Stegostoma tigrinum: one gene and its partners. The protein of the gene in region 4 interacts with the protein of the main gene of each other region in a pairwise test. Links are inferred from orthologs where the notes say so. Each region holds a gene or a part of one and is shown on either strand. Other genes may lie near its edges. The genes, in order: tfg, serf2a, znf385c and protein boule-like.

Region 1 (7,079 bases), on a different chromosome or scaffold from region 4:
AAATGCCAAAAGGGATTGATAAGGTGGTCATCGAATAGATGTCCCCCCCCTTGTGGGACAGTCTCAAATAAGTAGGCATAGATGTAGTGAGAGTAGCTAAGTTCAAAACTGAGATGAAGAGAAACTACTTTTCTCAGAGAGTTGAGAGTCTGTGGAACTCACTGCCACAGAGACAGAGGTAGAATCAAATCAACTGATTCAAAAGAGAAATAGGTGTTTCTGATGAAAAGCGAGATAAAGGGCTACGGGTTACAGGCAGAGAAGTGGAGTTGAGACCAGCATAAGATTTGATATGCTCATGTCAATGCCAAGAGGGCTCAAAGGACTGAACTGCCCATTCCTACTCCCAATTCCTACGGCCCAATGTTCCTATGAGTCGCGTTGCCTCACTGAGGATTAAATCCAAAATCACCATCCGTATCATTTACTTGACATAAATGCAAAAGTAATATAAACAGGGATTTAACAAATCAAATGGACCCCACTGTGCCTAAAAGCTTGAGTATGACCAATGAAATATTTTTGGATGGAAGAATTTTGGATATATACTGCATATATTCATTTCATTTTTGTAGGGAAAGGTACAGATTAAACGTGACATGGTCAATTCTTGACAACATATATGTCATACATACAAGAATATTCATTTATCATCTGTATCTGGTCTCTATTATGATTATACACAATGTTCATGTGTACTCAAAAATCAGATCTGAACTCCAACATCACAATTCCAAACGTAACTCAAAGTCAATGCAACAAAAATCAGTAAATGTATGATGAGCTGCTAGCCTCTGAGGTAGTTACTTCTTTTTAACGATTTCAGTGTCTAGGCCTGGATTATACTTGCGAAGAAAAGTTTTGTATATTCATGTCCCATTCTTTTGCCTACAAGCTTAGCAAGATATTAAGTATTAATAAGTATTAACATAGATTGGGGTTATCTAACAACATCACTGTCAAGAATTCGAGGTACAAATGGATTATGATTAAACACATAAGTAATAAAACAGCATGTATAAATTAACAATAGATGATATTTTACAATAAAATATGAAAAATATGCCCCAAAATGCTGAGAAATGCTCCAGTATTAAATTCCAAGTTTCCAGGAACATGTTCTCACCTCTTATTTACCATGATATCCATACACCTATTCACGAAGAAAATTAATCTGTAGGTACAGTACACTCACATATGCAATTAGTACCATACTACTGCAACTACGAGTCATTTGCAGCTTTCCCGTCAAAGTGCAAGTTAGAATTGATAATTCTGGAATATTTAGTATTCTGCTCAATAGCAAACGACAAGGAACATTTGACTCAAGGAATCGGTATCACATCAACCCAAGGGCACTTCAGGCAGGTAACATAGGATAACTGATCCAAATTCAAACTGCAACTGACTCCTCATGCTCCTTCAATTCATCCTGTTGTCCATTATCAAACCTTTAACAAACGTCCAAAATTGTTAGTATCTTAAGTTTGTGTTTGATTGGACCCATCTCTTCGAGAAGCAGTATAACCAAACAAGTGAAATGCAATTTTATGACAATCTACATATAAAATATTCTAACACTTGCACAAGCATTTTAAATCAATAGTTTAAAAAGCTTGCTGACAGAAAATCATCTCATCAGATAGACAGTTGCTGTCACTGCAGAAACATCATTTCCTTCATTGAAAATAAATGTTCTTTTCCTCAATTACAGACATGCTGATTGATTCAACTTTTTTTACATACTGAAACTCTACTCTTCAGCAGCCAGTTCCCTGTTTTCCATACACTTCGAACCAACCATTATGTATCACTTTTATACCTAACTCATCCCAGAAATCCTTCCAACATAAATCACAACAAACTGCTCAAAACGGTTTCTGCCCCCAGCCAAACTCAGGACAACCCCTTCCACCAAACACTGGTCCAAAGTTTACACAGACCCTTTTGCCACATCCTCCAATCTGTCTCAGAACCCACATTCATCCAATAACCCTGCCAAATTCCTCCCCCTGCTGACTGACCTTCCAATTTCCCCACCTCCCCCCTTCCCCAACCCCCAGATCCCTCCCCAACCCCCACCTCTGTCAACCTACCCCCAAAAACCGACGTCCCCAACCCCCCACCAACCTACACCCCAAATTCCCCACCTCGCCTACCAACATACCCTTCCCCATATTCCCCACCTCCCCCTCCGACCAACCCTCCCCTAACTTCCCTGCATCCCCCACCGACCTATTCTCCTAAATATACCCCTCCCCCACTGATCAACCCCTCAAATACCCCCTCACCCACTGACCAAACCCCCAAAATGTACTCCTCCGACCTACCCCCCCAAAACGTACACCCCTCCCCCGCCGTCCTACCCCCCAAATATCTCCACCCCCCCCCACCCAACTAACCCCACACCCCACCCCCCCACAAATGTCCCTCCTTCCCCACCAAACTCTCAGAAGACCTGTGTTCTGAACCGGGACAGATTTACTTCCTACACACCCAAACTCCCCGTCTCCGCTACCAAACTACCCTCTCCCTATATTCCCACCACCCCCACCGACCTCCCCGCCACCAAAAAAAAATGATGCTGCTTGGCCTGCTGTGTTCATCCAGCTTCACACTTTTGTTATCTCAGATTTACTTCCTGCCGGGTCTCACGTCTCTCCCACGGCAGGAAATCACCCCGTTCCCCGCCAACCCCTCAACCCTGGATCTGTACGGAATGAAGGAATGAGCGGCTCCGAGTGCGAACGGATGACACCAGGGGCCAGCCGGCTGGTTGATGGGAGCCGGGCCGGGAGTAGGCCTGGGGCCCGCTCCTCACTTGGACCGGCCTCTCCGTTCACTGCTCAATCAGTACTGAAGGAATGTGTTTGTGTGTATGAGAGAGAGAGAGAGAAAAATACAAACCTGTGGCTGGGAGTTTGCGGGGTTTTTTTTTGAAGCGAGCTCAGTGCCTGTCCTTCTCTCCGTTTCCTACAAACGCCAAGTCCCTCCCCTCTCTCCTCCCGGGCCTGCCGTCTGGACGTGGCAAAGCGCAGCGAGCATGCGCACTCACACATGAAGGTTGGCATTTCCCTCCCTGCATTCAGCATTTTAACATTTTTCAGGAAGTCTGCCCATCTGAAGGATTTGAATTCCATAAAAAGATACATTTCTCCTTCTGTTAATATAGTTTACAGGAAAAAAAAAGTAGGCCATTCACCTCTTGGACTTGTTCCACCAATCTGGCTGATAATTCCAACTCAGGACCTTGTCCCTTTTTTGAAATACCTTTGATCTCTTTAGCCATAAGAACTGTATCTCACTCCATCTTGGAAAACATCCAATATTTTGGTCTGAATTGCTTTTTGTAGCGAGAATTCCACAGCCTCACTATCTCACCTCAATCCGAAAGGGTCTAACCTCTACCCTTTGACTGTGACCTCTGGTCCTGGACTCCCAGATCATCAAGAATATCCTGCTTTAATGAAGAAGGCTCACCGGACCCAAAATGTTATTTCTGATTTCTCTCCACAGACTTAATATTTTGGGCCCGGTGACCCTTGCTTTGAACTTCCTGAGTTCGGTAGAAGGGTCACTGGACCCAAAACGTTAACTCCGATTTATTCTCCACAGATGCCGCCAGACCTGCTGAGCTTGCAGAAACTTCTGTTTTTGTTCCTGATTTACAGTATCCACAGTTCTTTTGGTTTTTCTTCTCTCCACAGATGCTGCCAAATCTGCTGAGTTTTCCAGCAATTTCTGTTTTGTTTCTGATTTCCAGCATCCACAGTTCTTTTGGTTATTTTACATCCTGCACGTGCCATATCTAATCATTTAGAATTTTATACAGTTCTATGAAGTCCTCTTCTTTTAATCTTCAGTGGACATAGTCCTGACCAATCCTGTCTCTCTTCATACATTGGTTTTGCTGTCCCAGGTATTGGCCAGGTAAACTTTTGGTGCACTCCATCCATAGCCACAATGATCTTCCTCAGATACGGAGTCCAAAATTGTGCGCAGTATTCCAGGTGTGGTCTCACCACATTATAATGGCAAAATTATAATTTGTCATATTTTAAAAACCATTTTACAGGGAGTGAGTGTCATTGGCCATGCCAGCATTTATTACCATGCTTACTTAGCCTTAAGAAGGTGGAGATGAGCTGCCTTCCCAAGCCACTGCAGTCCACATGTTGTAGGTACATTAGCAGTGCTGTTCTGAATGGACAGGAATGTGTCTGTCCTCTAACAGGTTTAGTGAGTGAGAATTGTGAGTATTGTGCAAAGGGAGATTGGTTCATTTAATCAAATCTTTCCTCTTGAGGAAATTGTAAGATTCTGTCAAATGCCATCAATCAAATATCATCCAATTCTGTTTTCAGAGCAACAAACTGTCAAAATCTGCTGCCAAACACTGCAAATGTGCAGGTCATCTCTACATTCAATGTTTTCCTAAATAGACAAAGTCAGAAGTCATATGTCACCAGGTCATAGTCCAACAGGTTTATTTAAAATCACAAGCTCCAAAAGTGTTGTGTGACTTCTGCCTATGTCCACCCCAGTCCAACACGGACATCTCTACATCATTTCTGAATGGAGCTACCCTTCAGCTTCTATAAATGCTGTCTTGACCAAAACATTGCTGCTCATGTCCTATCTCACTATCCTACTTATTGATCATGCATTTGCTGTCTAGAATCAAAAAATTAGAATGTAGGCAAAGCAATAATTAGGAAGACAAATTTAATGTTGGCTTTTTAATGTGGGAATTGCAGTATAAAAGTAAGGAAGTCATATTACAACTTTACCATACATTAGTGAGACCATATCTAAAAATTATGTACAATTTCAAACTCCTGACTTAGGAAGGGATATCCATGCATCGGTAACAATTCAGAGAATATTCACTAGGCTAATTCTTAAGATATTGAGGTTTTCTTATTTGGAAAGGCTCAGCAGGTTGAGCCTGTGCTCTTTAGCATTTAGAGAAATGAGAGGTGATCTTATTGAAACATATAAATTTTTAATGCAGCTTTAAAAACGCTGAGAGAATGTTACCCTCATTGGGAATTATGGAACTTTGGGGCATAATATTATTAAGACTCCATGAAAGACTAAAATGAAGAGGAATCTTTCCTTTGAGTGCCATTATTCTTCCAAATTCTGTTCCACAGAGAGCAGTTGAGGTTGAATCATTGAATATATTCAGGACTCAGTTAGACTTTTCTTCAACAAAAGAGCCACAAGTTCTGAGTGGCAGGCAGGAAAGTGGAGTTAAAACAATAATCAGATCGATCATGTAACCTCCTTCAGCATGTTCTATATAAACATAGTCAGAAATCGCACAACTCCAGATTATAGTCCAACAGGTTTATTTGAACACACCACCTTTCAGAGCCACAGGAAGGGTCTTCTGAAGAAGGGTCTAGCATCAGCTTTCGTGCTCCTGAGACGCTGCCTGGCCTGCTGTGTTCATCCAGCTCTACACCTTGTTATGTCTTTCAGAGCCACAGTCCTTCTTCAGGCATTAGTGAGGGAGGTAGTATCAGACACAGAATTTATAAATAAAAGATCAAAGGTTCACACCATTGATGTACTAAACAAACCTAAGATGCTGTTAAATCTTCAATTAGTTAAAAAATTTTAATTGATTAATCCACATATGTAGACCCCCAAATTCCTTTCAAGTCATGGTCCTGAGAAAAGTGAAGGTTTTATCAGTGTAAACAAGAGATGACATTTTAGGTCAGACAATGCATGTTAGGTGTGAGGCCTTGTTCAGAATCTGTTTGTGTTTTAGTTTGGAGCCAGACTGGTTTTATGTCTAAAGTAGGAAGTAATAAAACACCATATTGACTGACTGGCAATAAATTGTGTGCTTTTTGAACAAAATAAGATGTATCTACAAATATAAATTCACCCCATAGATTCACGTGTGTATATGAGACGGTGGGGAACGGGTGCGTGGATTCATCAATGGTATGATACTATCTCTCCCGTTAACACCTGAGGAAGGACTGAAGCTCTGAAAGCCTGTGTTTTCAAATAAGCCTGTTGGACTATAACCTGGTGTAGTGTGACTTCTGATTTTGTCCACCCCAGTCCAACATCAGCACCTCCACATCATATATAAACATAAGTTTGAGCACTTTACAGGGAGAGGGAGATACATACTGGGCAATGGATTCTGAGAGTTGGCAAGGGAAAGTGTTTTTGGAAATGAATTCAAGACTTGGTTTAAGTCGCTAAAACAGAGGTAGGAAAGAATAAATAGGACTGTAATCTGGAATCAGAAAAATAGAGCTGATGGATAGAGATGTAGGGTTGGAGATGACTTCTCAGATAGATTTGACTGAATTGAAAACTTATTGAAAAGAGCTAATGAAGTAATGGCTTAGAGCTATGTAGAATCATACTTAGGAGAGAATTTGGGCTGAAAACTTAGTTTATTGAGATGGGAGGCTGGTACTTGTTGAAATGAGAATCATGGATGAAGGTTTCAACAACAGTACAAGTGAAATGGGAAAGAGGTCAGAAATGCTCAGGTCAGGTGGAAAAAGACTCTCTGAGATAAGAGCCTGAAATAGGACTTAAGATTATATTGAGTGCTAAGGATAATAACTGGATGATTAAAAAGAAGATGTCAAGAGGTATACAGCCTCTCAGTTTACTGGACGTGACTATGTGGACACAGGAGAATATTTGTTTGACAAAGTAATCAGGGTTTATGAGAAAGAAATTGCATTAGTCAAATTTCTGAGAATTATTTGGGGCTGCAGCAAGTAGGTGGATTTCAAAAATTATTTGAATGATATTTTTATAATTTAAAGGCTCATGAGGTTTGGGTAATGTACTTACATGGCTGGATAATTGGTTGATATGCAGGAAACAGATATTGAACTTACAATAATGTTTCATTTTCAGTTTGGCTGGCCTCTACTCATGGGTTGCCACCATTGCTACTTACAATCTATACTAATGATTTAGTTGAAGGGTCTGAATGTGACTGAAGTTTGCTGATGATACAAAAATTATTGGAAAACAATGCTAGGAGGAAGACTAATCTGCAAATGAGTGTTGGGAAGTGGGATGATTAG
Region 2 (7,387 bases), on a different chromosome or scaffold from region 4:
TAACAAGCAACATGATGTGGGCAACCATTAGACTTCAGCTGATAAGTGCCAAATTACAGGTGTACCACTTAAATACAAAGAAATGACAGTTCTCAATGAGATCAACTACAGCTGGACGGTCACTTGCATTACCGTTTGCTGAATCAGCTCTTATCAACATCCACAGATACTATCACTGGAGTGAAACCAGCCATATACATTTTGACTACAAAAACAGGATAGATTCTGGAAGGTTTCCAGTAACACCTCCCAACTCTTCAAAGTCTGTCCACAATCTACAAGACCCACATCAGGAGTGTGATGGAATATTCTCCAATTTCTACATCTCTGATAAACCAAGCTTGAAACCATCCAAAACAAAAAGCAATCTTCTTGATGGAATTCCACCCATTTTCCACATTCAATCCAACCACCATTTAGGCAAGTTGCTGTAGTGTGTACCATCTACAAGATGCAATATAACTATCTAAGAATTTTCCTTCAACATCTGAAAGGATACCACCATGAACTACAAATTCCCTCCAAGCAATACTATCCAATCTTGGAACATTACTACCTCTTAAATATCACTAGGTCAAAATCTTGTAAGGACTTCCCCACAATGCTATGGTGCACCAAACAAACTATTGTAATTCAATGGCTGGCCTACCAGCCTCTTCAAGGTTATGGGCAATAAGTGCTCACATAACCAGCAGCACCTAGATTTCATGAAAGAAAAAAATAACAAACCAAGAACACAACAGGCTTAATGGGTTAAACAGTAGATACAGAAGTATGACAAGAACCCCATAAAACTGGAAGAGAAAGTAGCCAACATAATCAAAGACCCCTCCCACCAGTTAGACTCTCATCGATCCTCTTCCATTGGGCAGAAGATACAAAAGTTTGAACAAACTTACCAACAGCTTTAAGAACTGAATCTTCCCCACTTATCTGACTTACAAACAGACCTTTCACATTTTTGAGCTGATCTTTCTCTGTAGCTATACCACTAGTATGTTTTTTTCTATTACCATAATGCACTTATGCAAGGTATGATTTGTCTTGTTAGCAAGCAAAACAATACTTTTCACAGTGCATGTGTTAAATCAAGGAGTTTAACTGATAATTGTTTTGGACAGAAATTCCTCAACTTATGGGGGAAATCATCAACTGACAGCCAGGCAAGCAAAAAAGAAATTCAGAAAGTATTCTTCTGCCGATCCCCCCAAACCCATTTACCAACTCCAACCAGACAAGAATGGCTTTTTTGAGAGAAATTAGCTCAATGTTGCAATGGCTTTACAAGCCACAAGAGATTTGTATCAGACAAGGTTAGCATAGTGTATGGGGCAACAGACAAAGAGAGCTGAAGAATTTCAAATGGGAGAATCTCTTCCCAAAGGGCTGCGAACTTTCAGTCACTGAACAGGTATCTCAAAACCAGTCGTCAGTAAACCCACTCTTGATTTTTGGACCTAATCATCAGACAGTTTGGATGTGGCTGAGCCAGACCGGGTGGCTCAAGTCACTGAGCCCAGAAGGCAGACTGCAAAGCCAATAACAAGCCAGCACAGTCAATGCAGCACTCGACCCAAAAAAAGCCAACTATTTTCCTCATGTAATGAGGAATTATCAACAGCAGCTTGAGACAGTCAGGTTTTCATACAAGCGAATTTAAAACACCAAATCCTGTACACAAAGATCTTAACAGATATTTGAACATAAAAAACATTGAGACAAATGGGAAGGCACAGCCGACATCAACAATCTGACTACCTAATTGAACAGCAAAGTAGGGTCAAAGGGCCCACTCTAATTACGTGTGTTCTGAGATTCTAGTGAAGGATGGAACAGTTTAAAGGGACTGAATAGCCTCCTCTTGCTCACACCACAACTGCTACATGTAGAAGGAGGCCATTCAACCCAAGTCCACACCAACCCTCTAAACAACATATCACCTCCTACAATATCCCTGTAACCCTGTATTTCACATGGCCAACCCACCTAGCCTGCATACCAACTGGACACTATGGGCAATTTAGCACGGCAAATCCACTTAACCTGCACATTTTTGTATTGTGGGAGGAAACCCACAGTGTCACGGGGATAATGTGCAGACAGTCGCCCGAGGCTACAAACAAGCCCGGGTCCGTGGGTAACCAAGTGTGGAACTGGATGAACACAGCAGGCCAAGCAGCATCTTAGAAGCACAAAAGCTGACGTTTCGGGCCTAGGGGCCTCTATGGCCGAAAAGTCAGCTATTGTGCTCCTAAAATGCTGCTGGGCTCTGTGTTCATCCAGTTCCACACTTTTATTATCTTGGATTCTCCAGCATCTGCAGTTCACATTACCCCGGGTCTCTAGGGCTGTGAGGCAGCAGATCTAGCCACTGAGCTACCATACCTCCTCACTTTCGCTACTTTCGGTGCTTTCACTCAAGAGTCAGGGCCGAGGCCGATCCTCCGTCTGTTACTAGGGAGCTGCGGTTCCATTTCCCTCAAGCTGCAGGAGGGTCATCCCGCCCCCTACCCTTTAACGGCTGCCTGCCGATTTATTTTGAGCCGACGAAAATTCCCGGAGTGCGGACGTGGCAGGGAGAGAGGAGGGGCCAGGTCCAGGTGCCTGTACTCAGGAGCAGGCCGCTCTCAGACAACGAAAAGCAAACAGAAAAGGGTGAGGAGTGGCAAACCAGGGGCCTATCAGCCCTCACCGCCCACCACCCCGTGCCTCTCGCTCCAAGGGCGAACCCGTCGATCGGGGCCTAGGCCTCAGAAAGGCAACGCTCGCAACCCCTCCCTCCTTAAACCTCGCCGGTCGACAATTCAGCTCCGAACCCGTCGTTTCATGGAGACGGAAAAGAGAGAGGCGGGCACCGTATCTCTCTCACCGCTACTCACGGGTCATCCTGTCCTTTTGTTTAATCTCCCACCCCCTGCTGCTGCCGTCGCCGCCGCCGCCACAGCCGAATCCGCTGCCGCCTGCTAACCGCCGCGGGCAGACGACCAAACCTGATGAACTGCTTTCAACCCCGCCCACCACCTCCTGATTAGCTACTACCGTCAGTTCCTACTTCCTGAATGGCTGGTACGCTGTCAATCACGTGTCGTCACACCACAACATGCACGGTTGCGAGAGGATCTCACGTGGGGGAGGGGATTTGAGCCTTTACCCATTGGGCCCTTGTCTTTTTTGGACCGTTAACCAAACCCTGGTAACTTTCACAACTGACTTATGATGCACTGGCAAAAGATTGTTAACTGATACAATTATTTGGATCTATCTGCAGTGCTCCTCCTTGGAAAATGCTCGTACTTTAATCGTTACATGAGCTGGATGCTTTCAATTTTCAGAGAATTTTGTATTTCAACTTCTTTATTCTTCCCCAGAAAAATCCCTCTGGTCATCCACCTGCTTCAGTGTCCCTCCACTGAATGGTTGATGGAATTTTAGTGCTGACACATACACCATTCCATGATTGATGATGAGATGAAGAGTGGGATGAAGCAGAAAATGTATGAATATGCAATGCGTAATACGCATTGAGGATCAAGCTCAGGCTCAAGCAAGGATTGACAAAACAATTAACAGACCCTAAGACAGAGGATAGGAAACTTAGGAATCTATAATGGAAAAATGGATAGAAGAGAAAAAATACTTATCACAGGAAGTCAAAAATTATCGCACACACCAGGCTGGATTTTGCATTCAGTGGCAAAGAAAGCCTGCCCCTTTGTAGATTACATGGAACAATCCCTTTTCCAGACCTACACTAGCCCTAAACCCCACCTCTTCCTCCATTACATTGATGACTATATCGGCAACACCTCGTGCTCGCACGAGGAGCTCAAACAGTTCATCCACTTCACCAACACCTTCCACCTCAACCTTAAGTTCACCTGGACCATCTCTAACACCTCTCTCTCCTGCCTGGACCTCTCTATCTCCATCTCTGGCAACCACCTAGAAACTGATATCCATTTCAAGCCCACCGACTCCCACAGCTACCTAGAATACAGCTCCTCCCACCCACCTTCTTGCAAAAATTCCATCCCCTATTCCCAATTCCTTTGCCTCAGTCGCATTTGTCCCAGGATGAGACATTCCACTCCCATACATCTCAGACGTCCTTGTTTTTCAAGGACAGCAACTTCCCACCTCAGTGGTCGAGAACGCCCTCAACCGGGTCTCTCGCATTTCCCACAACTTATCCCTCACACCCCCTTTCCCCAATAACAACCAAAACAGAATTCCCCTCATCTTCACATACCACCACACCAACCTCTGGATCCAACGCATCATCCACTGACACTTCCACCATCTGCAATCTGACCCCACCACCAAGGACATTTTTCCCTCCCCACCCTTATCTGCTTTCCAGAGGGGCCACTCTCTCTGCAACTCGCTTGTCTGTTCCACACTCCCCTCCAGCCCCATCTCACCCAGCACCTTCCCCTGTAAATGCAGTAAGTGCTACATCTGCCCCTACACCTCCCCACTCAACCCCATCCCTGGCCCCAAGAAGACTTTGCAAATCAAGCAGATGTTCACCTGCACATCTGCTAATATGGTAAACTGTATCCGCTGTTCCCGTTGTGGCCTCCTCTTCATTGGGGAAACCAAGTGGAGCCTTGAGAACTGCTTTGCAGAACACCTACACCCAGTTCGCACTAAACAACTGCACCTCCCAGTCACGAACCATTTCAAATCCCCTTCCCATTCCTTAGATGACATGTCCATCCTGGGCCACCTGCAGGGCCACAATGATGCTACCCGAAGGTTGCAGGAACAGCAGCTCATATTCTGCTTGGGAACCCTGCAGCCCAATGGTATCAATGTGGACTTCACAAGCTTCAAAATCTCCCCTCCTGCAACCGCATTCCAAAACCAGCCCAGCTCATCCCCGCCTCCCTGACCTGTCCTTCCTCCTACCTATCCTATCCTCCCACCTCAAGTCCCACCCCCATCTCCTACCTACTAACTTCACCCTGCCCCCTTGACCTGTCCATCCTCCCTGGACTGATCTATCTCCTCCCTACCTCCCAACCTACACTCACCTTTACTGATCCATCCCCGCCTCTTTGACCTGTCTGTCTCCCATCCAGCTATCTTCTCCTCTGTGCATCTTCTATCCACCTACCCCTGTCTCCCGATTTATTTCAGAATCCCCTTCCCCTCACCCATTTCTGAAGAAGGGTCTAGGGCCGAAATGTCAGCCTTTCTGCTCCTCTGATGCTGCCTGGCCTGCTGTGTTCATCCAGCTCTACACCTTGTTATCTCTGCCAAAAGAAAGCAGCTCACAAATATCCTACAGTGCCTGTTCTGAGTTTCCCATTTCTTACTTTAATCTGAAACCAAGTGGCATGCATCAGTGATGTCAGCAAGCATGTAAGCAGCTAATCCCATTAAGGTATTTACCAGACATTTAAAAATATGGGAGTAGGCAAATGCTATTCAACTGCTCAAGCCTGTTGTGCCATTCTAGATCATGGCTGATTATTTCCTTCAAAACAATATTCATGCTCTATCCTCACATTCCTTGGTGTCATCAGTAATTAGAAATCTGTCAATTTTTGCTTTGAACCCACTTATTGAGTGAGCTTCCATAGCTGTCTGAGTTAGAAAATTCAAAATACCATCCTCTGCTTGAAGTGGTTCGTCCTTATGTTCATTTTAAATGGTGTCTTTTTAGGATATTTTCAGAGATATTATTACATACCACTGGATTAATGGGACTTAAACTCCAGCCTTCAATGCTGAATCTGTGTCCCCTGGTCCTGGACTAAACAGTCCAGGGAAAAAAACTTTCTACGTCATGTCTAATTCTGCTAAACTCAGAAGAGGCTCAAGAAAAGAGAGCAATGGATGTGATCTATTTGGATTTCCAGAAGGCCTTTCACAAGGTACCACTAAGGAGGCTGCCATTTAAGATAAGAGCCCATTAGAAACAAAGTACTGGCATGGATAGAGGATTGGCTGATTGGCAGAAGGCAGAGAGTGGGGATAAAAGGATATGTTTAGAGATGGCAGTTGGAGACTAGTGGATTTCCGCAGTGGTCAGTGTCGGAACCACAATTCTTCACGTTAAACATTGATGATCCGGAAAAAGGAACTGAGGCGTTTTCTTACAAATGAGACAAAGACAGGAGAGACAGGTAGTGTTGAGGAGGCAGGGAGACTGCAGAAGGACTTGGCCAAATTAGGAGAGTGGGCAAAGCAGTGGCAGATGGAATACAATATGAGAAAGTGTGACGTTGTGCATTTTGGTTGGAGGAATAAAGGCGCAGACTATTTTCTAAAATGGGGAAAGTTTCAGAAATCTGTGCATAACGGGACTTCCGAGTCCTCGTTCAGGATTCTCTTAAGTTTATCATGGATGTTCAGTTGGCAGTTAGGAAGGCACATTCAGTGTTAGCATTTATTTCACGAGGGCTAAAATATAAGAGCATGATGGACAGCTGAGGCTATTTAAGGCTCTGGTCAGATCGTATTTGGAATATTGTGAGCAGTTTTGGGCCCTGTATCTAAGGATAGTTGGCCTTGAAGGAGGTGTACAAGAATGATTCTAGGAATGAAGGGCTTGTCATATGAGGAGAAGTTGAGATCTCTTTATTCAGTGGAGTTTTGAAGGATGAGGTGGGATCTGATTGAAACTTACAGAATACTGAGAGGTCAGGATACAGTGGACATGGAGAAAATATGTTCAGTGGTTGGAGAGACTAAAACTTGAGGGCACAACCTTGGAGTGAAGGGATGACTCTTTAGAACTGAAATGTGGAGGAATTTCTTCAGCCAGAAGGTGGTGAACCTATGGAGCACATTGCCACAGAAGACTGTGGAGGCCAAGTCAATGACTGTATTTAAGACAAACTTAGATACGTTCATGATTAGTAAGCGGATCAAAGATTGTGGGGAGGAGGCAAGAGAATGGGGTTGAGAAATATTTCAGCCAGGAGCAAATAGCAGAGCAGAGTGTGTTGGGCCAAATGGTCTAATTCTGCTCTTATGTTCTAGAATATAGGTCCTAGCTCCTCAGCCTCTTCTTAAGAATGAGTAGTTTTGAACCAATGCTGCACTCTGTTATGGTGAGTGTACCCATTTAAAACAGATTAGCAGTGTCTTCACCCTAACATGTCATAGTTAACTGATGAGGATGCAAGCATTTCCTTTCAGTCAGTGATAATGGGAACTGCAGATGCTGGAGAATCCAAGGTAACAAAGTGTGAAGCTGGATGAACACAGCAGGCCCAGCAGCATCTCAGGAGCACAAAAGCTGACGTTTCGGGCCTAGACCCTTCATCAGAGATGGGGATGGGGAGAGGGTTCTGGAATAAATAGGGAGAGAGGGGGAGGTGGACCGAAGATGGATAGAGGAGAAGCTAGGTGGAGAGGAGAGTATAGGTGGGGA
Region 3 (6,992 bases), on a different chromosome or scaffold from region 4:
TAAGGAGGCAACAGGTAACCCAATAGATAGTAGGAACAGCAGATGCTGGAGAATCCGAGATAACAAAGTGTGGAGCTGGATGAACACAGCAGGCCAAGCAGCATCTTAGGAGCACAAAAGCTGACGTTTTGGGCCTAGACCCTTTGTCAGAAAAACTAGACCCAGAAACGTCAGCATTTGTGCTCCTAACATGCTGCTTGGCCTGCTGTGTTCATCCAGCTCCACAATTTGTTATCTCGGATTCTCCAGCATGTGCAGTTCCCATTATCTCTGACACAAAGAAGAGACAGCATTGTCAGTCAAATTGTGTTGGCAGTAGCTGGCAATGAGGGTGCAAATGTCTGAATGTTACATATGTGTAGGTGTTGGGGATGGAAGGGGAAGGGGTGAGGGAGGGAGAGACCTGGTACAAACTGAGATGCTGCTTGGCCTGCTGTGTTCATCCAGCCTCACATTTTATTATCTTGGTACAAACTCTGATCAGTTTTAACTGGCTATGATGCGGTCGGGCTGCACGTTGACGGTACTGGAGGATATTGTTTTTTCCACGATCTCTCTCGCTCACACTCTCAGTAAACTGATATGAAGATATCTGCAGCAAGGGAAATGGATGATGATGCTGGTAATAATGATGAGGTTCCCTCCTGTACAGGCTGACCGCCACCCACTCCCGGGTCACTCATGAGCGTACAGGTGGCGCGCGCCTGCAGGTATCGGTGAGGGCCGGGTGCCAGCGCGCGCACCCCTCCCCGCCCGGTCGCGCGCCCGTACATGCACGCGCCCCCGGGATGTGCTGCTGTCGGCGGCGCGCCTGCTGCTGCTCAGTCTGGGTTGAGAGACAATGTTAGAGGCAGCGAGGGAAACAGAGCTCGGGATCAGCGCTGGAGGTAGGGTGACTTCTTTTTCTCTACCTACAGGCACATATTTGTGCAGCTTAATTTTTTTTGAAGATCGCGTCAGGGAATAATCTTGCTTTTCAAAAAAGTACTACATTCAAAAAAAATAATTTCAAACAAAAAGAATTCAGATGTGATACCTTGCCAGTTAATCTTGAGTGTGGGAATAATCTCTGAAGAGAGTGGAGGCTTGAGGGAGTCCAGAAAGATTCAAGTTTGGGACGCGGAGAGAGTGAAAATGATGCCTTTCCAGCCCGATTTCAAGGGGAAGTTTATTTTTGCTGCCTTTTATTATCTGCAAGCATTATCTTTCACGGATTTGATTGCAGAATGACTAATCCCTCAGCACCTCAGAGATAAACTTGTGCTGTCGACCTCGTTATACACTTAAATGCATTTCGCATGATGTACATTATAGGTGTTATTTCTTCCTATAAAGGAGAGAATGTCTTGGGAATATTTGGTTGTATTCTGAAGCAATGTAGCGGAGGCGATGTAAATAACCCTGTTTTGTGAATCTCGGTTTTCCTGTACGCAAAAGTTTCACTGCAGGGAAATTGCATTTCATTAAAGAGTTTCTAAAATTGGTTCAAATCATGGAAGCCTTGGGGGATAGTGAGGGATGTCATCGCATTTCAAACAGCGAAGCAACTGGAAACGGTGAACACTTTTTTTTGCTTTCTGTTGTCGAACCAGTTTTCTGAAATACGTCTTTTGGTGAAATATCTTTCACACATCACAACTGCTACCTAAGGCGCACCTCTTGTTTTTCTCAAATAAAAGTATCTTCGAACTGAGAAGGAGCTCGTTTATTTGGAGGCTTCTTGCCCCCTCTGAGCCTATTTATCTCTGTGACTTGTGTTGAGACCAGTTGTGGTAATAAGAGAGACCCCTATAAGGGCGTACAGATATACACTTTGGTGATAATTTTGATGACATGTTTACCATTATGAAAATGACATACCAACTTTGAGTTGTTGACGTTTTTAACACGGTGAGTATTAAACCCAATTTTAACTCTAAGTACTCTATAATGCTTCTAATGGACGTGCTGGTTATCTTAACATGTCAATTGTATTATATAATAGAAACTTTTCAAACGTGCTGGATGTGGTTTCTTTTTAAGTTTTAATGTATTGCTTTTATAGTGGGTAGACATTAAATCTTTATATTCACAAAGAGGCAAATAAACATCCTCCAGGATTTTTCAGTACATTCCAAGCTCACCCAGACAATATTGCTGAGCAGAGGCAGGGAGAGAATTTGGGAGGAGAGAGTGCCTACACACTTCCCATTGGCTAGTGAAGACCAACTTATCAAATGTGATGCTGTTCTAGTTAATCATGAGTGTGTGAATGATCTCTAAAGAGAGCGGAGGCTGGAATGGTTCAGAAATATTCAGGTTTGGGATGCAGATAGTAAATATCGTGCTTCTTCAATCTGTTTTGATTGGCTGAGCCTAAAGGGCACAGATTTCTGTCTCTAGAATATTGGTGAATGCAGCCAATAGACCCAAAGACTCAAATGGAGAGGTAGAATTTATACAATCAGGTAGCAGCGTGAATGATTTGAGGTCTTAAATATATTCAAGTCCTGTACTTTTGGTTGGCTTGACATGTCTCACCTAATTTCAAGTTCCATTAGATCTTATCCCTAAATCAGGGAGTTGGTAGGTCGGTTTGGCTAGATGCTGGTTTGCAATGCAGAGTGACGCAAACAGCATGGGTTCAACAGCATGGGGATTCGCTGAGGCTACCACAAAGGACACACCATCTCAACTTCTCCCCTCACCTGTGGCATGGTGACCCTCAGATTAAACCAGCACTGATTGTCACTGGCTCAGGAGAGAGCAGCCCCATAGTTCTCTGAGTCAGATTCTGAAGATTTAGCCACAGAGTAGGAGAGGATTCCATTTGCATGAAAATTCAGCAGTGATGCAGTCACCCTTCCCAATGCAATAATTCTCAAGAAAGCAAAAGATCCTCCCATCTACTGTTTGTGCTTTTACTGGCACGTTTAATGTTTCTTCACGCACTTAAAAACCTACTCAAACATCAGGTCGTTATACACTTTTGAAAGAAGAAACCCCTAAGACTGCAAATTGGATAATAGATTGGTAGTTATCAAAGAAACCAACATGTCCTGTTGTCAATATAGAAGAAAAAACTCTCCCCATGAGGTTTACTGCCACAATCAAAACCCAGCAATTGGGCAATTTTAATGATCTTGAACATTCCGCTGCGTCTCCTGTCAGAATATTAGATCAGTGAGTTGATTAAGGTGTGCTGGGATTTTAATTATGACAATCAGTTGACATGTGGTGACATTGCTTGTCGGCACACCTAGAGTAAAGACAGTTCCCACTATCTTAACCAGTACGACAACAACGATTGAACAATCTGTTTGTAGCAATTCATTACCTCCCTGATATGAATGAGTCAACGAGGCTAAAATTAAAACTAAATTTTTGATAATTTATATCAAGAGAGTCTTCAAGCCACCCCCTTGCTCCTTCATGCTCACACTTTGGTCAGAAGATTAAGATCTGAAAATGACTGCTGGTGACATTATTAATAAATGGTTTGACATATTTAAACAGAGAGTGTTGCCTACCATCTAAATGTAGGATTAACCCATTTATTTTCAGTAACAGACAGGGGAATGTTATATGAATATGTTAAGTGTTTGCTGTTTCTGCCAGGAGGAGATTTTCAGTTTGAGAACATAAACAAGATGATATAATGTTTAAGAGGACACAAGTTAATATGTTTGAACCATAGGTTTTCAGATCTATGGTATTCAGAGTATATGAATGATCTTGCAGACTACATTTGTTATCAGCAGTGCCTGTCCCTCAGCTGAAGGATGATGTCTACTCCAGTGGGTCTTCACTTGACTGAACAGGCCAATTCTCAGCCCAAAGATCTTTCGAGTAAATGTGGCAGGATGTCCCATGAGGTAGCGGGATCTGGAGTGCAGGATTTGCTTCCTTTCCTTTCTTTCTCTGCCACTGCTCTGCCTCATTATTAAGACAATAGGAATCAAAGTATGATGCTGCTTGATGGACAAGCTATCACGATTTTGAACAATTGATAACAAGTTCCTCTCAGTCATTAATGTCAGTGATGCCATGCTTCATGGAGAGCTCCAGAGTGCGTTTGATTACATTTGTGTCATTTGGTGAAAAATAAGAACTGTATAATTTACTGTATAGTCTTTTTGTGTCACCTTTCTGGTTTGGCAACTATTATCATTACCTCTCGTCTGATTTTGCTTATCCATATTCTCTGGCATACTCTCTTAAAGTAAAGATGTTTGCGCCCTGCAAACCAATTTAGCAAACTGTTAAATTTGCTTAATTGCAATCATTCAAACATCATGATGTTTGGAAGCGCTTTGGAGGTGAGATGATGTATGTTTGATCTATGCCATTCTATTGGGGATGTAAACGATCCTTTGTTTGCTGCTCTGTTGTGCACAGGACATACTGGTGTAGAAGTCAAGATTCCAAGACTAAAGTCTTTTGTCAAAAAGTAAGAGATTGACTTCTTCATGAGTAACATTTTGGAGCGGTTGAAGCCCACTGTCTCCACTCATTTTGCTATCTCAGAGTTGTTCCCACTAGCTGTTCCCACAAATCCTGCCCCGAAAAGTACCACACAGCAGTGAAATTATAGCGTTGACATCATATGTTGATATGCTGAGACATGAAGGAATGGAATACTCATTTCCAATGGTGTGTTGTTCCATGATTCTATCAGAGCATCAGAGCAAGTTTGAGCTCGGTGGTCGGTGCATGGTAAGTACAAGGTGTTTGGATTTTTTAGGCGTAAAATTCTTTTTCTTAATTTATGCACAAGACATATGAAAATGACTTTGTTTGGGGGCAGAGGCTGGGACTGACAGAATCAACCATTACCTGAGTATGAACAGTATTATTTTGTAAACAATGTCAATGTAGGAATTTTTTTTGGATGAGATGTTAAATGAAGTGTGACTGCCTGTGCCAGTTGTTCAGGTGGCTGTTTAAAAATCATAATATGATATCAATAACATAAGATTATGACTGTTATATCAGTCCAGCACAGTGGCTACAGCCCAGAGGTTTTGTGTCGATGCAAAGTAAAATAAATGAAGCACTGGGGACTGTGACAGTATGGTGGTATGCAATCTGTCCCTGCTACCACTCAGCAGTAAAGACAATTTGATAATAAGTTTGTCCACTTTTCTGTTGGCACACTGAAGGGCTCCATTTGGTGCACGGGGGGAATACATGGATTTTTAAATATTAAATATTTAAATATTAATTTAAGCACACCAATATTATTTGCAGCGCAAGTTACTTCTATCTGCCTATATGATAAGAGCTTTAGCAACATTTTGTTGCAGCACTGTTTTTATTCCATATATATAGATGCTGATTATTTAAAATGGAACACTTGTTCCTTGTACAGTCATGGCCCTCAGAAAATGTTCTCCTCATGAAGCAAGGGCACCAGTAAACAGACCTAAAGTGGAAGAGCGAGCAACTGCATACTCAAAACCATGACAACAATTACAGAAGCAATAATTTGCCACCGCTTTCAGATAAGACCACAGTTTCTAATACATCACTACATCACCATCTGTCGCATTGCTTTAATCTGTGGTGATTCTCATCATATCCCTGTTTTCTGACCTTGTGTCAGCTGCAGTGCACATCATTTTGTTTCAGTGCTTTTTCAATCAAGAAGTTGTTGATCAGCTTTGGTGCAGAACTTTGGCACAACTGACTCAGCTGGCAGTATGTTCTGACAGAGGCATCAACCAGAATTCTGCTTGGTGATTCCATGTGAATTTGGATGAGATCACGGCAGGAAGGTACTGCAAGTGGTGAGCGTTATTATTGCCTCACTATGTACCCTTTATTTGCCTGTCCTAGCTGAGATCACTGCTAACCTCTCCTTCACCACCTATCTCATGAAATAATTGCTATAGGATTGAACTCCGGCCAGTTTATTTTCCATTAATAATTCCTGGGGCTGCCCAGAGGAATGCGATGGTAGGTGACAATAACAGCGTCTTGCAGTGTTCCTATGGAGCATGAGATGGTAGGTACGGCCGATGCTGGAGAATCTGAGATAACAAGGTGTGGAGCTGGATGAACGCAGCAGGCCAAGCAGCATCAGAGGAGCAGGAAGGCTGACGTTTTGGGCAGAGACCCTTCTTCAGAAATGGGGAAAGGGAAGGGGATTCTGAAATAAATAGGGAGAGAGGAGGAGGCGGATAGAAGATGGATAAAGGGCAGGATTAGTGGAGAGGAGACAGACATGTCAAAGAGGCAGGAATGGAGCCAGTAAAGGTGAGTGTAGGTGTGGAGTTAAGGGAGTGACAGGTCAATCCCGGGTGGATGGACAGGTCAAGGGGGCGGGATGAGGCTGGTAGGTAGGAGATAGGGGTGGGGCCTGAAGTGGGAGGAGGGGATAGGTAGGAGGAAGGACAGGGTAGGGAGTCAGGGACAAGCTGGGCTAGTTTTGGGATGTGGTCGGGGGAGGGGAGATTTTGAAGCTGGTGAAGTGCCCATTGATACCATTGGGCTACAGAGTTCCCAAGCGGAATATGAGTTGCTGTTCCTGCAACCTTCAGGTGGCATCGTTGTGGTACTGCAGGAGGCCCAGGATGGACATGTCGTCTGAGGCGTGGGAGGAGGAGTTGAAATGGTTTGCGACTGGGAGGTGCCTCCCCGGCTGTCCTCCGTCAACATTATTTTTCCAAAGCAGTTTTGCCCTCCAGGCTTCTTGATATGAACTGTGAAATACACAATCAGCTCAGGGAAACTGACCAAAGAATGACAGAATTATGAAGGTGGGAACTGTCTATCTTGTCAATGCCAGATTTTCATTTCAATATTGCAAAACTCATCAACCTTGCTCTCTCCTTATAGCTCTTTATCTCCATCTGCTTGGGGAGAGGCTTGGGGACTGCTTTGTGGTACACCTACGCTCGGTTCACAACAAACAACTGCAGCTCCCAGTCACGAACCATTTCAACTCCCCCTCCCATTCCTCAGACAACGTGTCCATTCTGGGCCTCCTGCAGTGCCACAATGATGCCACC
Region 4 (7,512 bases):
TGTCTCCTTCGTCCAGGGACTGTCTTTGAGCTGGCAGGTCACAGGCCATGTGCAGTGTACATTTTAATGAAGAATGACTAAGTGAAAGGATACTGGCCTCTGTGCAGTTATTTCAGCATGAAAGCATGAAATGTCATTAGAAATATAGACCGTATGCTGCTTCAGTGCTTCTCACATGACAAGATTGCAATAAATGACCAAAAGTCTTCACCAAGTACAACGTGGCATGCCGCAAGAACTGGGTAGTGAAACTCATGGAAGCAGCATTACGTTTTAGGGACAGAAAAATAATCACAGTGCCACAGCCAACTGAAGGCAATTCCTAAATTTAAATTTTGTTCCTTCTTTAGGATTTCTCTGCCAATGACACATCAAATCTCCATTCCTCCTCCAGAGATACCACAAAAGCAAAGAAAGATGTGCCAGAACTCAACTTATAGAATCCCTACAGTGTGGAGGCAGGCTATTTGATTCATTGGAGCCACAATAACCCTCCGAAGAGCATCCCACACAGACCCACCCACCTTATCCTATCTGTACAAACCCTGCATTTCCCATCGCTAATCCACCTAGCCTGCACATCCTTGGACACTATGGGCAATTTAGCATGGCCAATCCACCTAAAAAGCTGGAGGAAACCCAGACATAAGGAGAATATTTCATAAATTTGGTGATACTGTTTATTTGCCTTCTCTCTCTTTCCATCAACTCCAAAGATTTAGCCTCAGAAAATAAACAGGTGTCTTACGGTTATCGCAACAGATGGCGCACCGAGGTAAGAAGTGAGGAGTTTCTGAGCCTTATTGAAAGTTCAAGGTTCCACAATGAACAAGTCAAGCCCCTGTGCCATTTCTAATGGGTCACAGGGGCTGCTTCATTGCCTTTCCCTACAGTTAATGTGCCTAAAAGCTTTACAAGCAGTTGTTTCACCCTAATGAAAAGATGTCTATGCCATTGGTGGATTAATAGTAATTAACAATTAATTAAAAATACAAAAGAATTTTACAAACCCAGTGTCACACTGGTGCAGTAAGCAATATGAAAGGTGACAAGTGAAAATTAAAGTTTATGATAGACTATCATGTCGAAATGGGGAAAATAATCATGCTGCAGCGTTAGCATTTAATTTCAATTCTTTCAATTTAATTTGATTACAACGTACACCAAGAAAAATACAGCTTTACCACTTTTGTACAACCTGTTTCATACAACAATTTTTACATTCAATATTTTAAATATCTAAATTTACATATTTTATGTTTTCCCTAACTCGACTGTTTGTTTTGCTCTAGCATTCACCTAATGTCCCATGTCAACCAATTTAGAAAACCAGCTGAACTTTTCCTTAACCACGAGAAGCTCTTACCTGCACTCCCAAGAACCACGCATAGTTCAATTCCAAAGTTTCAAATAGTGAATCCATGATTTTCCGTTTTACAACAAAGTTAAGCATGTCAAATTTTGAACTATCCAGTAACTATTTAGTTAAAGAAAAAAACTCGGTTTAAAAAAATTCCATCCGCTCCATTAGTAACAACGCAATTGGTAATGCTGCCTGAACTGGTCAAACTATCCACACAAAAACATCTACAAACTTGCTTGTGTGTTTTGTTACCCAGGAGGGTGAAACTTATTCAAACAATAATCCCCGTCTGGGTGCCCCCGCCCCCCATTGCGGCGCAAGCGCCAGTCCGGCAGCCGTTACCCCGTGCACGCGGCTGCCACCAGCTTCTTTCCCCACCGCTAAGGGCAACGACGCTTGGGTGAAGCTACAGCGACTATAGTTTTTTTTCAAAGTAATAAGTCACAAGAAAACAACATAAGCAACCAAAATAAATGTGTTATTTCCAATTATGAATTTGGGGCTCCGAACAGAAAGCGGCGCAGCGGATTTCGTTTGAGCCATCCTATTCTATTAAAAAGTCGCTCACCCCTTTTTTTGTAAATGAAATAATTTATTCAATACCGGTTTATTATACATGTAGTCCGGCCACGCCAATTTACAGCCCGTGGCAACTGGCTTAATCTCCGTGGGGATCGGACCAAACTGGTGAGAACTGGAACCAGTGCGCCCGCGCAACGGCTTTTGGCGGGAATCTGCGGAATAGGCGACGCTCACAAACTCCCACATGAACAAATAAACCAACAAAAAAAATCCCCAAACACCATGGAGATGCCAATGTCGGACCTACTTAGTACGGCCTTTACAAATTAAAACCTACCATAAACATCGCCGGCAATGTAAGTTATCAAATTATACCGTACCATTCCTTCTTCCCCACCCCTCCCCGCGCCATCATCAAATAAATCACCAAACAACTGAGACTGTGGAAAAGAACGGAATCTATTCAAAAACAGATCCGTTCAAATTGTCACGCACTTCAATCTTGTTTACAAATGTGTTCGTACTCAGACCGCGTGAACGCTGGCTAAATTTCGCACCTCCGTTCCCGCAAATTAAGACCGGGAGCACGTGATCTAGTCAAATAACACCAAATTCAAAAAGAAACACACCGAAAGTGAAATCCTCGCCTAAAATCTCGGTCGCCGTGATGGCTCCGTTCACACTGGCGTCGTGATTATGCGGCGGCGTGGCCATGTTTTGCCAGCACACCTTCCAAGCTTCGCCCACCTCCCAGAACAACAAGTTGCAACTGTTGAGGTCTCTGTCTCTCCCAGATGTATTGATAATTTACATAAAAATATCTGTGAGTGAAGGAATCAGCCGGCGCTGTAGCTGCGATCGCAATCCCATTAGAATCGGACTGGTGGTTGTGGCAGACAACCCCTCTTCCCCAAGTGTGAGGAAAGCAACTTCACGGCGACCCTTGCTTCCCCCCCCGCCCCACCGCCCGTCCAGCTTCATTCCAGCTGTGGCGACGCTGCCCAGGCCACTCACCGCTCCTTCGGTGTCCATCTACACGAAAAAACGTTGGTTTCGGGGGGGGGGGCGTAATCACAAAATTTTACTCAACCCTCAAAATAAAAGCCCGTTGGTTCTGTACTTGGGTTTGTGGGCAACTGGCAGCACCTTAAATTACCGGGTCATACCACATCGAGTCAGTGACCGGGGCGGCCAAACCCCCACTGGCTCCACTCACAAATCAAGCCAATCAAATCCCAGGGCCACCGCGTCCGCCTCAAATACCATTAAATATTCAGTGCAAGGGACCGCTTATTTGTTTCCCAAGTAACGAGACCTTGCATTCAAGCAAGAATAAAAATATGTGATTTGTAATTTTCATTTTAGACAGCTTTACTTTCCTGAAGACACCACGCAACTGTTGTTGTTGTCAATCATCTTTCAGTTACTTCTGTGCCCGTACAGTTAGCGAGGTCAATCATGGACTTTAATTTGCGCTAGTAAATTGGATTTGGGTTTTTGTCATAACGGTCGTGTTGAGAAACAATGCGCACAACGACCCGAAACTACTAACTGCGGCATGCCTGGAGGGCTCGGTAGTAGGCAAAGGGGGCGGGGGTTGCAATTCGCCCATAGGAAAGGGTGTGAGGCCGAACTTTTGCTCCCACACCACCATTCGTGCGGCTTTGACCTCCCTTGCCCAGCATTCCTCTGAAGTATCAGTTGACGGATGATCGCTTCAGTAGAAAATTGAAACGATGTCTTTCTTCTAACGTGTCAAGCTGTTTGAAAGCACTTTTATAATACATCTTGCTTTTTTAAATTATTGAACGGTAGCATGCATCCGACTGGCCCAAACCGTACTTGTCTGCCTATTTAATGTGTGTTTCTAAACGCAAAGTGCAATATTATATCGTACTGCCACCTACGCATACATGAATAACCAATAGCTAAGCAAATTCAAGATCATTTCGTAGACCGAAAAAACAAGTGAATGTGGAGATGTAAAATATATTTCATTCAATTTTATCAGTTCAAACTAAATGATTGTAACTATTCTTTCGTTAGGAATTGTGAATTTGCACCCTATGGGTCAAAATACACATAGGCACTCAAAATACTTTGTCTGCTTTGGAGGGAATCAGATAAAGGATAAACATCTCTCAATCCCTTATCAACGTTATCAATCCTATTTTTGAACATTTTCAAGCAAGCAATGATTAAGTAAACATTTCAGAAATGTCTAATAACTTGAAACAAATTTTGAATGGACTTTTGAATGGCCATGCATAATTATTTATTTAAGGAAACTGTAGTCCTAATAATTAAGTTATTATGTACCCTATAATGTGCTGATTAGGAGAAAATTATTTGACTCACTCATGGGATGTGGAGGTGATGAGTCACTTTAAAACAAAACGTGCTGCTGATCATGTGGTGCAGGAACAGTACTGTTGACAGGAATTCCAGGATTTTTGATCTAGCAATTATTTCCAAGTCAGGACAGTGTGTGGCTTGGAGATAAACTTTCAGGTGAAATGTTCCCATTCACCTGCTATTCCTGTTCTTTTAGGTGAACATAAGGAATAAGAACAGAAATAGCTCATATGGGCATTGAGCCACCCATGCTATTTAATTGATATCTGAACCCAACACCACTTTTCCAATGCTCCCCATATCTTTTAATTTCCCTGGGAGACCAGAAGCCCTTCTATATCAGCTTTAAATACATTAATAGTATAGTATTCGCATACAGTTATTGTAGAGAGTTTCAAAGATTTGGAACCCTTTGCATAAAGTTTTCCTCATCTGTCCTAAATTATCAATCCCGTTTCCACAGATGGTGCCTGGTGTTCCAGACTCTGCAGCCAGAGAGAAATAACCTTGCATAGGTTACGCTATCAAGTCTCTTCAGAATTTTAATGATTCAGGCCCAATATAACTCTTCTTCAGAACAGAAAATGGATGGAAATGTGTTGGGTTTTATGGTATTGACAAAGACAAGTGGAACAGAAGGGAATATCAGGGAAAGATTAGAGAATAAGGGAGAATGGAGATAAAAGGTGTTTCAACTTGCTTCGCTCGCTGTAGGAAAGCCATCCCATCTTAGAACTAATCTGGTGAATTTTTAGTGTCCTATCTCCTTCTCAAAAAATAAAAACCAAAACTGTTCACAGTACTCCAGATTTCAGAACAACACAGCCCCGTATTTTTAGCTCAACCAAAGTAATCTGCTATCTGGTGGCATGCCAATACAGGCAAAGAGATATTAGAAATTTTAAAACTTTTTAAATTGATGCATTATTAAGATGGCTGCCAAAAGGATGAGGTGACCTTCGCAACTTTCACACAGTTTATCAAGCTTCTGGAAAATTGCAAGTGAATTACATGGTAGGGTGCAGTTCTTTGAAAGAGTATGCTTAAACAATACTTGTGGAATTACACACTTGCTGTTATCAAAGTTTATTCCAAAACATGAAACAAGGCACTTCTAAATTAAATGTCTCCAAGTTTGCAATGTAACAGAGAAAAGGTAACGAGATGATTTATAAACAAAGACGAAAGGTCACCATTACTTGCTGTTAAATTTCAACAGCCAATAATTATACAACTGAACCGGTCCTCAAATGCTGAAATTCTTTATCACAAGAGTCAGAGCAAACCTGGCAGTCTGCAGAAGAACACCAACAATACGTCAGCTGTAGCAAAATGCTGCACCACAGTTGCTTTTCAAGAACCACAAGACTAAGATTTGTTTAATAAGTACCCGCCCCTCCTTCCTGATTACAAAAGCTCTAAGATTATTTGTAAAGAAATTTGACCTCCTGAGACAAGAATCACTAGTGCCTATCAACATTTGGATTTATCAAGGGAAATGTGTAAATAAATAATTCTCTTGGTTTAAACTCACTCCAGCTGGCAACTTTTCTTTTTCAAGACTTATCCACACACATTACAAACATAATGATTTCAGTTTATCTCTGTTTATTCTGTCTAATAACACAGACATTTATTGCGCTGTCCTTTCAAGGCATTCATTTCCAGGGATTCAATATTCTAATCATTAGTCCAAAATAATTTTTAGCTCCTTGGGGTTTACTTCTATCATCTCCCTTTCGCAGCCTGGTAACATCTAACCCCAGGATTCTCCTTCATAGTCATAATATTACTGGAGATTCATTTGTGAATGTATGCTAGATAAAATCTTCCAGTTTCATTTTAACTCCTTGGGAATTTTGCAATTCCAATCCGATTGTAATTTTTCACCAGCAATGCAGTGTATTAAACCATATAGACTTTTAGCCTGTTCTGAATCTTGGCAGACGAACTGTCTGTGGCTTATCATGGATATCTTAGTCCCTTTCACTCACAAAGCATATTTCCATGGCAATGTAAATCACATGAGCCTTTTATAACAGGTAGAAATGCTGTTTAGCTACCCTTGTGAGTCCCGCTGTTTTGCACCTTGGAATTAAGTACAACCCAGCATTCTCAACACTTTGTTAAGAAGTTGGAGACACACAGTCTATCAACTGTTAGCACACAGGCCATTGTCATTGTTTCTGCATATAAATACCTTGTAGCTTCTTTTACCTTATACAGTGAAGCACATGGTCCCATTTAATCTCTATCAATCAAACCATCCAGGCTAGCTGAAATAATGGGAACTGCAGATGCTGAAGAATCCAAGGCAACAAAGCGTGAAGCTGGATGAACACCGCAGGCCAAGCAGCATCTCAGGAGCACAAAAGCTGACGTTTCGGGCCTAGACCCTTCATCAGAGAGGGGGATGGGGAGACTGTTCTGAAATAAAAAGGGAGAGAGGGGGAGGCGGACCGAAGATGGATAGAGGAGAAGATAGGCGGAGAGGAGAGTAGAGGTGGGGAGGGGATAGGTCAGTCCGGGGAGGACGGACAGGTCAAGGAGGCGGGATGAAATTAGTAGGTGGGAAATGGAGGTGCGGCTTGAGGTGGGAGGAGGGGATAGGTGAGAGGAAGACCAGGTTACGCAGGCGGGTACGAGCTGGGCTGGTTTTGGGATGCATTGGGGAGGGGGAGATTTTGAAGCTTGTGAAGTCCACATTGATAGCATTGGGCTGCAGGGTTCCCAAGCGGAATATGAGTTGCTGTTCCTGCAACCTTCGGGTGGCATCATTGTGGCACTGCAGGAGGCCCATGATGGACATGTCTAAGGAATGGGAGGGGGAGTTGTTTGTTGCAAACCGAGCGGAGGTGTTCTGCAAAGCAGCCCAATGGTATCAATGTGGACTTCACAAGCTTTAAAATCTCCCCTTCCCCCACTGCATCCCAAAACCAGCCCTGTCCTTCCCCTCCTCCCACTGCATCACAAAAACCAGCCCAGCTCATCCTCTCCCCCCACTGCATCCCAAAACCGGTCCAGCCTGTCTCTGCTTCCCTAACCTGTTTTTCCTCTCACCCATCCCTTCCTCCCACCTCAAGCCGCACCTCCATTTCCTATCTACCACCTCATCCCGCCACCTTGACCTGTCCATCTTCCCTAGACTGACCTATCCCCTCCCTACCTCCTCACCTATACTCTCCTCTCTACCTATCTTGTTTTCTCTCCATCTTTGGTCCGCCTCCCCCTCTCTCCCTATTTATTCCAGTTCCCTCTCCCCATCCCCCTCT

The links.
Region 1: the proteins of protein boule-like (region 4) and tfg interact in binary tests that used the Homo sapiens proteins (3 or more experiments, as listed by UniProt). The two-hybrid records come from large-scale screens. The link is inferred for Stegostoma tigrinum from reciprocal best matches to the Homo sapiens genes BOLL and TFG.
Region 2: the proteins of protein boule-like (region 4) and serf2a interact in a two-hybrid assay, tested with the Homo sapiens proteins (2 studies listed by BioGRID and IntAct). The two-hybrid records come from large-scale screens. The link is inferred for Stegostoma tigrinum from reciprocal best matches to the Homo sapiens genes BOLL and SERF2.
Region 3: the proteins of protein boule-like (region 4) and znf385c interact in a two-hybrid assay, tested with the Homo sapiens proteins (2 studies listed by BioGRID). The two-hybrid records come from large-scale screens. The link is inferred for Stegostoma tigrinum from reciprocal best matches to the Homo sapiens genes BOLL and ZNF385C.

Annotation. Positions count from the first base shown.
Region 1 is NC_081365.1:29,138,133-29,145,211, reverse strand, and holds the start of tfg (protein TFG), read right to left. Parts: upstream 3,022-7,079; 5' UTR 2,908-3,021; intron 1-2,907. UniProt on the Homo sapiens protein: Plays a role in the normal dynamic function of the endoplasmic reticulum (ER) and its associated microtubules. Required for secretory cargo traffic from the endoplasmic reticulum to the Golgi apparatus.
Region 2 is NC_081386.1:9,217,319-9,224,705, forward strand, and holds the start of serf2a (small EDRK-rich factor 2), read right to left. Parts: upstream 3,016-7,387; 5' UTR 2,887-3,015; coding exon 2,880-2,886; intron 1-2,879. UniProt on the Homo sapiens protein: Positive regulator of amyloid protein aggregation and proteotoxicity. Induces conformational changes in amyloid proteins, such as HTT, driving them into compact formations preceding the formation of aggregates.
Region 3 is NC_081384.1:13,221,409-13,228,400, reverse strand, and holds the start of znf385c (zinc finger protein 385D), read left to right. Parts: upstream 1-3,967; 5' UTR 3,968-4,026; coding exon 4,027-4,048; intron 4,049-6,992.
Region 4 is NC_081360.1:31,528,825-31,536,336, reverse strand, and holds the start of protein boule-like, read right to left. Parts: upstream 3,009-7,512; 5' UTR 2,918-3,008; coding exon 2,900-2,917; intron 1-2,899. UniProt on the Homo sapiens protein: Probable RNA-binding protein, which may be required during spermatogenesis. May act by binding to the 3'-UTR of mRNAs and regulating their translation.